2 linked regions of the Tamandua tetradactyla genome follow. The protein of the gene in region 2 interacts with the protein of the main gene of each other region in a pairwise test. Links are inferred from orthologs where the notes say so. Each region holds a gene or a part of one and is shown on either strand. Other genes may lie near its edges.

Region 1 (3,600 bases), on a different chromosome or scaffold from region 2:
ACCTACACAAACAAACAAACATGGGACAGTTCACATGCCATGGTGGGAGCAGGGGAATGGCACAGATTTAGAGTGAGCCACAGACCAGTGCTAGTCCACAAACCTACTGTCTGTAACAAGAGGTACAGAAACTAAAGGTACTTAGAAACTTCTATAGCAATCTGACCAAGGAAAACCTAGTAATAAAAATTTGATCCTGTATTGTGTATGTGCTTCATTTAAAAATGTACTACAAAAATGAAAATAATCGTATTGTATTTATAAAATGATTAACCTGCAACAGATTGGAAATAGAAAAACTCTGTCCATCACAGATAATTTAAGAAGCACTGCCACAGATGACATCAAACTTAAGAACAGAATGTCATCTCCCATTTTGGGGAACATCCTGCATCTCACAGCCCCCAAGCATCATTCCGAAGTGCGCAGAGTGCCAAAGGCTGCTCTGTGGAGTGATGAGAGGGCCCTTCTTTATGGACGCCAAGAAGCAGGACCAGGCTTGAAGCAAAAGGATCAGACCGTGCAGGGTCCAGAGGCAAACAAATGGATACCACCTGAGAGGAGTCTGTCAGAGTCTCCCCAAACACTCATTAAATGACACATAACCAGTATCATCAATGGGAGCCACTGACCGTATCCATTAAAGTTGCTTAATTGACCAACAGCATTTCCCAAGTACCATTTCACTGAAGGTGGCAATTTCCACTAAAGATGCAACTGTCCTATCATCTTATGAACCGCTGCTCTAAAACTCTCTCTACCTCCAGCTGCCCTTTCCCACAAGGATGAGAATTCCCAGCCCAACCACCCAGTGCCAGAACTTTCTTCTTATGACTTCAGGCTGTGTACCACTATTTCTCAAGTGTGGTTCGATGCACCTTAAAAGATGAGTATTGTTATCCCAATCTTTTGAACGAAAAAACTGATGTCCAGAAGCTTAAGTCACATATTCAGGTTTAACCTGGAGGTACAGAGCTGAAATTCCCAAGCCTGTGGCCTTAAGCACTGGTCTAAGTCTTTGTGAATGTCATGCTATTAATGATAAAATCAGTAACTACAATTCAAATGCTAACATTGCTGACTGCTTGGTGTCAAGCCCTATGACACTAAGTTTTGCCATTTAATTCTCTGTCACTCTTATGAGGAAAATACTATTGCCCTCTTGCTAAAAATGAAAAAATCAAGGCAGTAGGAGGATACACCACTTGCCCAAGGTCACCTACTGATAAATCCTGGGTGTAAAAGTCTACTACTTGCTGAACTTTCACACTAACCCTAGAAGGGACATATTATCAACCCCATTTTAAGACAGGGACACAGAAGAAAGAATAAGGCACCAGCTCGAAAATGGCCTGACTGGATTCCTAAGTCCAGCCCAATGACCTCCCCAAAACCTAAACCACTCCTTATCCCAGCAGTGAACTCACCTCAAACTCTCGGATGTAGGGTGCAATGCCACAGTATGGCTGATTGTGGTGCTTCTCATGTGGCAGTTTCTCCAAGGGTGGCAGGTACGGGATGGGGTCACGTGGAGCAAACAGGGCCAGAAGGTTGGGCGGCAAGAACTGGGTCATCTTGCCAGGTCTGAGGGTAGAAGCAAGAAGGCCCTAAGTTAGGATAGGTTTTAACTCTCAAGAAAAAGAGGAAAACAGAACACTGGGTTTTCATGTCACAGGGAAAAAGGAGTAAATCCGAATGAGAGGGCAGGCAATGGCGGCTCAGTGGCAGAATTCTCGCCTGCCATGCCAGAGACCCGGGTTCGATTTCTGGTGCCTGATCATGCAAAAAATAAATAAATAATAAATCCGAATGAGAAAGCAAGTTCTTGGGAGGAGGAGGGCAGGGGATTGGGGATGAGGCCACTAAGGGAAACAAGGACTGGAAAAGGGTTTCTGAGTAGACAAGTTCCCTAGCAAGGGGCTTGTAGGGAAATCAAGGACCCTGACGAAGAAAGAGCAGAGCAATGGTGCCTGGTGGTCTGTACCGTGGGGGACAATTTACCGAGCAGGGGTCGCGCACAGATCTTGGAAGTAGAAGTCTCCGATCAAAGGGAGAGAACCGTAAATAGCAAACCTATCAAGGTAGGGGCTTGTGGGTAATGGGTCTCAGCCTTCAAAGGCGAAAGGAATTATGGGTAAGGGTCTAGGACGCTGCGGAAAGGCCAGAAAGGAAAAAAGGCAACACCGCAAAGATCTGTAGGTAGGGGACCGCGGAGGGCTATGGGAAGGGGGCCGTGGGAAGGGGGCCCAAGCGACCAGAGGACTTTAGGTAAGAGGTGCACCAAAGCGCTGAGCCGAGGGCGCGGGAAGAGGGCCCGGCCGCAGGAAAAGGGGCTAGGGCCCACCGCAGGGCCTTGTGGGTAGCAGCCCCGCTCCCGATAAGGCCAGTCACTCACCCGCCGCGCGGCGCCCTCCTCGGCCTGGCGTCGGTCCGGGGCCTCGCGGGGGCTGCGGCAGCCCCTCAGTAGTAGGGGCTTCTTCTTCGGATTCGACTCCGGCAACGACCGCGTCTGTCTAGCTCTACCGCCGGCCCCGCGCGCGCACCAGGCTGCCGCTCACGAACCCGCGCGGCCTCGGCTCCCGATGGGGGCAGGGGGTGGGGCCCCGCCTCGGATCCCTCCGCTGGCTGCACTGCGCACGCGCCGCGCGAGTCGCGAGCCCCTCGCACACAGGGACGGGACACAACGCACGCGCGCGACTGCTGCCCCCGCCTTCGGGTGCCCTGAACGGCTTTGCCGCGGCTGACTGGCTTCCGTACTGCGCACGAGCGAGCCGCACCAGCCACTCTCTCCTCCTCGCGCTCTCTGCCCCAACCGCTTCTGTTCGCGAGACTCTTCTGATACTCCGCCCCTTCTTTTTAATACTTCCCGGAGTCTGTGCGCATGCGTAGTAACGTATTACATGTACCCTTCCGCCACTTGGCAAAGAGTTCCTACTTGAGAAGTGGTCAGCGGGATGTCTAATCTATTCGGTCAACAGCTTTGTCGAGCGCTTGCAGTCTGATAGACGCTGTTTGGAACGCTGGTGAACATATAGCATATGGCTAATACAAAGCCTTTTATCTCATGGAACTTACATTCTCTTGAGGGGAAGACAGTAAAACATTTAAATGAAGAAAATAATTCTAGATGTGGCCGGCACGATGAAGGAAAATAGAGCAGAGGAAGAGGATGCAAAATGAGAGCGGGGCTATTTAAAAGAGGCATGCCATTCAGAGGTGACCTTTGAACAGCAAGTGCCAAGGCCCTAGGTGAGGAGCCATGAGGGCACAGAACTGGCAGCCATGTTATTTAGGGCTTTATATATCTTAACGAATTAACTGTTGCAATTTGGTTGTATTCAGTTGCCTATTTAATATAATAATTACAGAAATTATTACCAAATTTTAGTTACTGAGTTGGTTTTAGAGATGCTTGAGATTGAAGCAATATTTTTTAAAAAGTTGACATATTTGCTTTACCTGTTTGTGTGTATCCGCTTCCTATGTTTTGTTTTCTGAACTTGAAAGTAAATTGCAGCAGCATTTCACCCCTGAATGCTTCAGCATGAATTTCCTAAGAATAAGGACATTATATTCTGCATAACGGTTTCTCCAGACAAA
Region 2 (7,091 bases):
TAGATGATACTTAAAGCCATCAACTCAGAACAAACCATAACTTACCAGCGGTATTGCAACGTCCTCATAGGGCAGCTTGTCTTCTCGCCAAGCATCATCAATCAAATCCAAGATCCTTCCATCTCTCTGTACCTCACTGTCCATTCTCCTGTAGTTCTGATCTTGTCAGATCTGTAAGTTATAAAGGTAATTTCTTTAATGTGGAGATTTAGGAGATGGGGTATTCTACTATTAGGATTTTGGTACCACACTGCCCTGGGAAAGGCTTACCTTCTCATCTGGGTTAGATGACAATTTTTTATAAAACCAGTACCCACTCTCAACCTTCACCCTCAGCTGATGGATGCTTTATAGTGTATACTGGATATATGTAGCCCAGTTAAGGACTAGTTTCATAGTGTGGCAGGAGGGTGACATAACTGAGAGTATCATCTTCAAGGCCACAGTACATCTAAATGTAATTTCTCTCTCCTAATTTGCACATTCACCTTTCCTGTGATGCCTTTGATGAATCTCTGACTTATAACAGTCTCTTCTCCAGCCTCTCAAGGTTTTTGCACCAAATTTACAAAAGTCTCCATCTGCCTTGGTTCTAATCTCTTGGGCAACACAGGGAAGTAAGACAGCAACGATGAACAATGCAAATTAACTAACCATAGGCGTGACACAAATCCTCAAAGCAAGAAAGATGTCAGCAGTTGAGCTTATAAATGAAACTGCCTCCTTTCTTAAAAACAGAGTCCAGGCTGAGCCCTGAAAGGAGCACCTCCAGGTGAACACCAGTGGCCGGACTCCATGCTGCTCTTTGGGATTCCTTCCCAATTCTTTCTGTTCTCTTTTCAATGCTCCTTAAACATAGCTGCTTCCCCATCTTTTTCTCCCTAACAGCTGCAATCTAATTCAAAGGACTGGCCAGCTCAATAGGTACCTCTGGGCTCCCTTTTTCCAAGTTTAGGTCCTGTCTCCTCACCACAGACACCATTCTACTGTGCTCAGTGTTACAAAGGGGCCATCTTGAAGGCCTGGGGGCCACTGGCTTGGGAACTACTCTGCGACACTCCCAACTTCTGAGGCTATAGATACTCAAACAAGAAACAATCTTTGGGGATAGAATTCAGTTCCTTCACACAGACTTGTGCTTGGCCCTAAAAGTAAGACTACAAGACAGCCCTAATACCTGGATAGTAATTACAGCAGTTGGGGAGGGAGAAGGGTCAAAAGGTGACAGATACTTCTGTCAACAGTGGGCCACCTGAAGGATCTTCCTATTTCACTCAAGAATTAATCCAGTACTACAGGGTGGATAACACAAAACAAGTTGAAAGATCCTGCCTTTAGGATACGTACACACAAGGGCCCCTCGCCCCCAGTTTCAGTTATACTTGTGGAATCCCTGTCCTCCAAGAGCTGCTGCCACTCCACTGTCCTCTTTGCTCTGCTCACTGGAATACCCTCCTCACTCTTCTCCACAGATTCAAAGCTGCTTATTTTCCCGCAACTACACAAATTCCACGTTTTTAGTTTTCTCAAATCACCTCAGTTTCAGTAAGCTTTCTGTCCATATGAGCCACAAAACAAGTTAGGCAGATCAACTCAAATGTTATTGTTTCCAATTATTATATGTACATTTTGTACTAATCACTCCTTAGCACACCTTCTTCAATTTGGCCTCAAACTTTTTTTGACCTGTCTCTGCTCCAAATACCTCCAATCACGCCCCACTGAGACTCTGCCTTAAAGTTGTTTTTTTTTTTTTTTTTTTTTTAACCCCATCACAAACCCTTACTTTTCCTTCCAAATTCAGCTGAGAAGCAGCTCTTTGGATTCAACACAGTTTTAAGGCTGGGAGGACCTCATCCGTATGGTGCTGGGAGAATGGGAAGAATCCAGGACACGGCCACAGTCCCAAGCACCCGCCGCACGTGACAGAAGGAACCACAGGTAGCTTCTAGAACAAATTTCTTTTACTGATATCTTTGTGCCTAGCCACGTGACAATCCCAGAGCCTGGAATGCTCTTTCCTTTTCCTTCCTTCCGGCTAACCCCCAATCAGCCACAAAAACTCAGCATTCCCAAATTGCGGCCTGAGAGCGCCACCCGCCTGCCCACAGGCCCGCTGGGGACAGTGAATAGCTTCAGGCGGGAAGCTTGTCACATTAAGTGCCTATTATATGCGTCTTCCCACACACGTGGTTCGCGCGTCCCCCGAGACAAAGACAGATTTCATTCATTTCTGCCGTTTACAGAACCGTAATGATGTATTCATACGACTAAAGGCGGGAAGGGACTTTGCCTTGTCTAGAAATGACCCTCACAGGCCACCACCACCCGTACCGGCGTGTGGCCGTCCTATAGCCGCGGTTTCCGGCCTAGGCTGGCTATACCAAATGTGGAGATGAGGGGTGGTGCATGTCCTGGGCGGCCACGCAGGCTCCTTTTCACCCGACACAGCGTGCGATAAGGGCAGTGACAACGAGGAAGAAGTGAGGACGTAGCCCTCGGCCGCTGCAGGGTAGGGAGTGGGAGTAGCCAAGACCTGGGCGAGGAGGGCGGGTTACCCTTACCGGTACCGGGTTCGCCGCGGCACCCGTTTCCGCCACGCCACCACCACTGCATCACGTGTTCCATCCGGTCTTCTCTCGCAGATTTCCGGATGTGGGTGAGTCCATTTGCTTGCGCAGAGGGGAAATCAGGAGGACTTTTCAATGAATAGTCAGGGGCCAGTGGGCGGAACGAACGTGCCGACGACAGAGGCAGGACGTAAGGTTGGGGGTGACGCGCGTGCGCGCTTCTGGCCCGAGGTAACGGCGGGAAGGCTCGGGGCGCGCTCGGGGCGCGCTCGCGGCGGCCGCGTAACCGCCTGTGCGCGCGAACTAGTGGGCAGGGTTCGGGCGTCTTGGCGTACAGAGCCCTGGCCTGGTGGTGCCTCGGGCCGTGCGGCCGCATGGCCGGGGAGTGGCTCTCGGAGCGGCCTGCCGGCCAGCAAGCCCACCCTCGCCGGCCCAGGTCCGCTCTCGCAGCCCCCTCGTCGGCCTCGTTACGAGCGCCCTGCGGATCCGCGAGGGCGAACATGGCACCCTCCCGGCGCGCAGGCTAGGCCCGCCTGTTGGTCAGCCCTTCCCGCGAGGCCGGGGGCCGGGGGCGGTGGGCGAGCCGCTCCCCGGTCCCTGTCTTCCCTGCTGGGCCGCCCGCGCGCCCTTTTGTCCTTCTTAGGGGGAAGCACGCACAACAGACCTTGCAGGCCCGAGTATTTGGTTAGAGCTGCCTAACCTTTGTTGTGACTCATTTACCGGAGGTGTTACCGGTTCATTTGTGGCGGGATATTTAGTAACAATTTATAAGTGTTATATTAGCAAAGTAGGTACGGGAATGTGGCAGAAATCGTGAAGGACTGAAGTGGGAAACCTAGAACTAACGGTTGCTCCATGCATGGAGTTAAAAATGGGAACTAAATGATAAAGATAGTGGGTTTAAAAAGGACGTTTCCTTAAAAACACTTTGTGACAATATTGGAAGACAGTACATTTAGGCTCATCATGTGGCTTTTCTATATGCTTACAATATCAGCCTGATGATAGACTACTCTTAATTTATAGAGCACTTATTTGTACTGGGTAGTAGTTCCCGACGCTTTTTGCATCCGATTCCCTAAACCATTCAACAAATTTTATTTTATTCCTTTAATTAAAGGTTAATGTTTTTAACCTTTAATGTAGGGTAGCTGTGCACACTAGCATCTGTTTTATAAGATATGAAGGGGAAATAAGGATCAACTACACATGACTTTAAAATATTTTGCATTTACATTTATAAATAGGTGTAGCTTAAGGATATAATAAAGAGTATGCATTTTCTTAATTTGGAATGTGGTGCGATCTTTTAGAGTAATTTTTATCCTGAATTTTCTGCGATTATCCTGAAAAGGGGGTTGATTTTTTTATATTACTCTCAGTTCCGTTTGTGTCTCAAACATGATTGCTCCTTGCCTTTTGATTATATTGTTATCAGTAATAGGTATGGTAAAAATGGCTGTGAAACAAAATTAGGTCAGAGAGTTATAAACATTCAATCACACCACCCTTTAAAATGTCTGATTAAAATTTAAAAAATTTAAAAATACAATTGTAATAATTGTGTATGTTAATTGTACCAATTCTATTTTCTTCCTATGAAGAGGTAGAAGGTCTTTGCTTAGTCCTTTCCATTCTCATTTGTGTTGTGGAAGTGGTGGCAGTTATCAGTAGGCCACTCTATCAAGAATTCATTCTAATTTTGAAGTTCTGCTAAAGTCTTCATTAACTTAAGGTTTCAGGAATTGAATTTCTGATTTTTATGTTTAAGTTATTTTTTTCTCTAAGAGCTAGGATTTCTTGTTTTTCAGTTTTTCAAAACAGTCATATCACACCTACAAAATCAATAAAAATTCCGTAATACCAATATACTGTCATGTCACATATCCCCAACTGTCCCATAAATGTGTTTTTACGTTTAGTGTGTTCGGATTAAAATCCTGTGAAGATCAAAGTGTTGCATTTGGTTGATATACCTACTTGCACCTTTAAAAAATACGTATCTTTTGAGTCTCTTTTGTAATCTGTAGCAGTTCCCTCTCCTCCCTTTTGCCTGGTCATTCCAGATCTGCGTCCATATGATATCCTTTAACATGGACATTTATTCCCTTTATTTCCTCTAAACTGGTAGTTAGATCTAGAATTGCCCTGTCCAGTGTGATGGTCACTAACCAGCTTAGAAGAAGATTACATTAAAAGTTCAGTTCATTAGCCACATTTCAAGTACACAATAGTAAGATATAAAACATTTCCATAATTGCAGAAAATTCTTTTGAACAGCACCGATCTAGAGGCTTGATCAGATTCATCTTTGATTTTTTTTGGGTGGAGCACAAGAATATTTCATATATGGTTTAGTGTATTTCCTGTTTAGTGCTATTTTCATGCAGGCACACAGTGTCAGAGTTGTCCTATTTGTGATGTAAAGATTGATCATTGGGTTCTGGTGTTGTCAGCCAGACCCATTCATCCAGCATGAACCTCGCCTTGAGTCACCCAGTGATGAAGTTCTCTTGGATTCAGATTGTCTGTACCCATTATTGTATTAGGGACTGCAAAATGTTGGTTTTCTAATTCTATCATTCCTTCTATATTTATTAGCTGGAAAACTTTTATGAAGAACTTTCTCTCATCAGCTATTTGATTATCCTGAATTACAGTTTGTTCAGGAAAGGCAAGAAAAATGCTAAATTTTTTCCCTCTATTTTCAGACTACAGTAATGAGTCGATGCCCTAGCGACCTCCAAAGGTAACCATGAAGGTTTTTGCTAATTTTTTTTGCTATCATCCTCATGAACTCATAGATTTAAGTATATATAAACTCTTTCAATCTATTGAAATCATTATTCTTTTTGATACTCAAATTGTCCTACCTTTGGCCAGTTGGAGCCTCTTTAAGTTGGCTCCTATTCCTCTAGAGGATTCCAGTGGTCTTTGATAATTTCCTTGCTTTCTGGTGCAATAGGTTCCTGGTTCATTTTATACATTTTTGGCCTCCAAAGAGCCCTGTTCCTTTTATTGGGAGATGGTATTTAGAGACCACACAGTCTGGGTGCCAGAGGTGCTTTTGCTGTTAGGTTGGTTTTGGGTTCTAGGATTTACAGTCATTGGAGCTAAGAAATACATTTTTTAAAAGGAAATATAGAATCCATACTAATATTTCCAATGTAAATTTGATTTTACTGTTGTTTTTTCGACTTTGTTTTTTATGAGTTTGATTTAGTATTTGCATTTTTTTCTCTTTTGTTGAAAATCTTGGTACCTAAATTTCGTTAATTTTAATTGCCTTATCCTACATTATATATACGGGTTTCAAATGGACAATACCAGTGTTATTATTAATAATATGATTCCTGGATAGTGTTTAGAATTTGTTGTTCTTTTTATCTTTAGTATTTTTCACACAAGGCATATGTATAATAAAATTATTACATTGTAATGGTATGTGAAATAATTTGTTGTTATGTTTAGGTTGCCAAGTTGATACATAGTTGATGGCTGATTCATTTATTTAATTTTATTTCCACTTTTTCCATATTGATTTTTTCCAGTTTGATTTGTTTTATTAAATGCAAAACTTTAGCATAATTCCTATAAAACAAGTACCATAGTTCCTATAAAACAAGATATTCTGAGAGAAGTTTAGCATTTCTCTCTCTTTTCCTCTACCCCGATTGTTTCCCTTCCCTATAAATAATCATTTTTACTAGTTTTGGGTTTATCCTTCCGTGAAAACAAATGCATCAGAAGCAAAAGCAAAATGTGTGCGTGTGCATTTTCTTAGACAAAAGATGGCATTTACATGTACTCTTTTGTATCTTGCTTTTTTTTTTCACCTAACAATATATGCCTTGTCACACCGTGCTGTAGATCATTTTGCCTTTTACTGCTTCGGAGTACTTCATTGGTGGATAAATAGTCAACTAATTCCCTGGTGATAGGCATTTGTGTTGTTTCTTGCTATTACAAATAGTGCGGCAGTGAATATGTTTGTGTATGTAGCATTGTTTGACCAAAGGATAAATGTGTATATGAGTTGTTAGGTGTTGCCAGAATCTCCTCTACATACAGTATTGTACCATTTTGTATTTTTATCTTGGAGGAAAGGCACCCATTACCACCTCCAGGTTAGGAGTCCTCCCATATGGAGGATAGCAGAGATGTCAACCCACTCCATAAAGGTGTCGGAGACACCAACAAAAGACACCACTTACATAGGGCCCTGGGTGGTACAATGATTACTGACATGGAGAAGAGATAAAGCAAAGTCAGCTTCACAGGTGCGTGTTGGTCCTTCTTAGCCAGTGGATGTTGCTCTGCTGCCAAAGTGAGATGATCTACAGACACCCTTCTCTCTTACGTGCTGTAGGCAAGTGATCCCGCTCCTTACGCAGTGGGAACTGATAGAGCAGCAGACTTGGCCAGATACCATAAAAAACAGAATCTGAATGTTTACATATGCTCTGGACAAAGCGGGACGGAATGTGCCAGCAGATCGCTGTCTGCTAGGGAATGTGTTCT

Evidence for each region. The genes of interacting proteins can lie anywhere in the genome.
Region 1: the proteins of CEP63 (region 2) and SNRNP70 interact in binary tests that used the Homo sapiens proteins (3 or more experiments, as listed by UniProt). The link is inferred for Tamandua tetradactyla from reciprocal best matches to the Homo sapiens genes CEP63 and SNRNP70.

The regions. Positions count from the first base shown.
Region 1 is NC_135342.1:12,037,245-12,040,844, forward strand, and holds the start of SNRNP70 (U1 small nuclear ribonucleoprotein 70 kDa), read right to left. Parts: upstream 2,612-3,600; 5' UTR 2,396-2,611; intron 2,113-2,395; exon of another isoform or gene 2,002-2,112; intron 1,585-2,001; 5' UTR 1,575-1,584; coding exon 1,428-1,574; intron 1-1,427. UniProt on the Homo sapiens protein: Component of the spliceosomal U1 snRNP, which is essential for recognition of the pre-mRNA 5' splice-site and the subsequent assembly of the spliceosome. SNRNP70 binds to the loop I region of U1-snRNA.
Region 2 is NC_135341.1:78,283,198-78,290,288, forward strand, and holds the start of CEP63 (centrosomal protein of 63 kDa), read left to right. Parts: upstream 1-2,860; 5' UTR 2,861-2,944; coding exon 2,945-3,006; intron 3,007-3,231; exon of another isoform or gene 3,232-3,254; intron 3,255-5,281; exon of another isoform or gene 5,282-5,290; coding exon of another isoform or gene 5,291-5,319; intron 5,320-7,091. Other genes in the region: ANAPC13 (anaphase-promoting complex subunit 13), read right to left, coding at 46-144. UniProt on the Homo sapiens protein: Required for normal spindle assembly.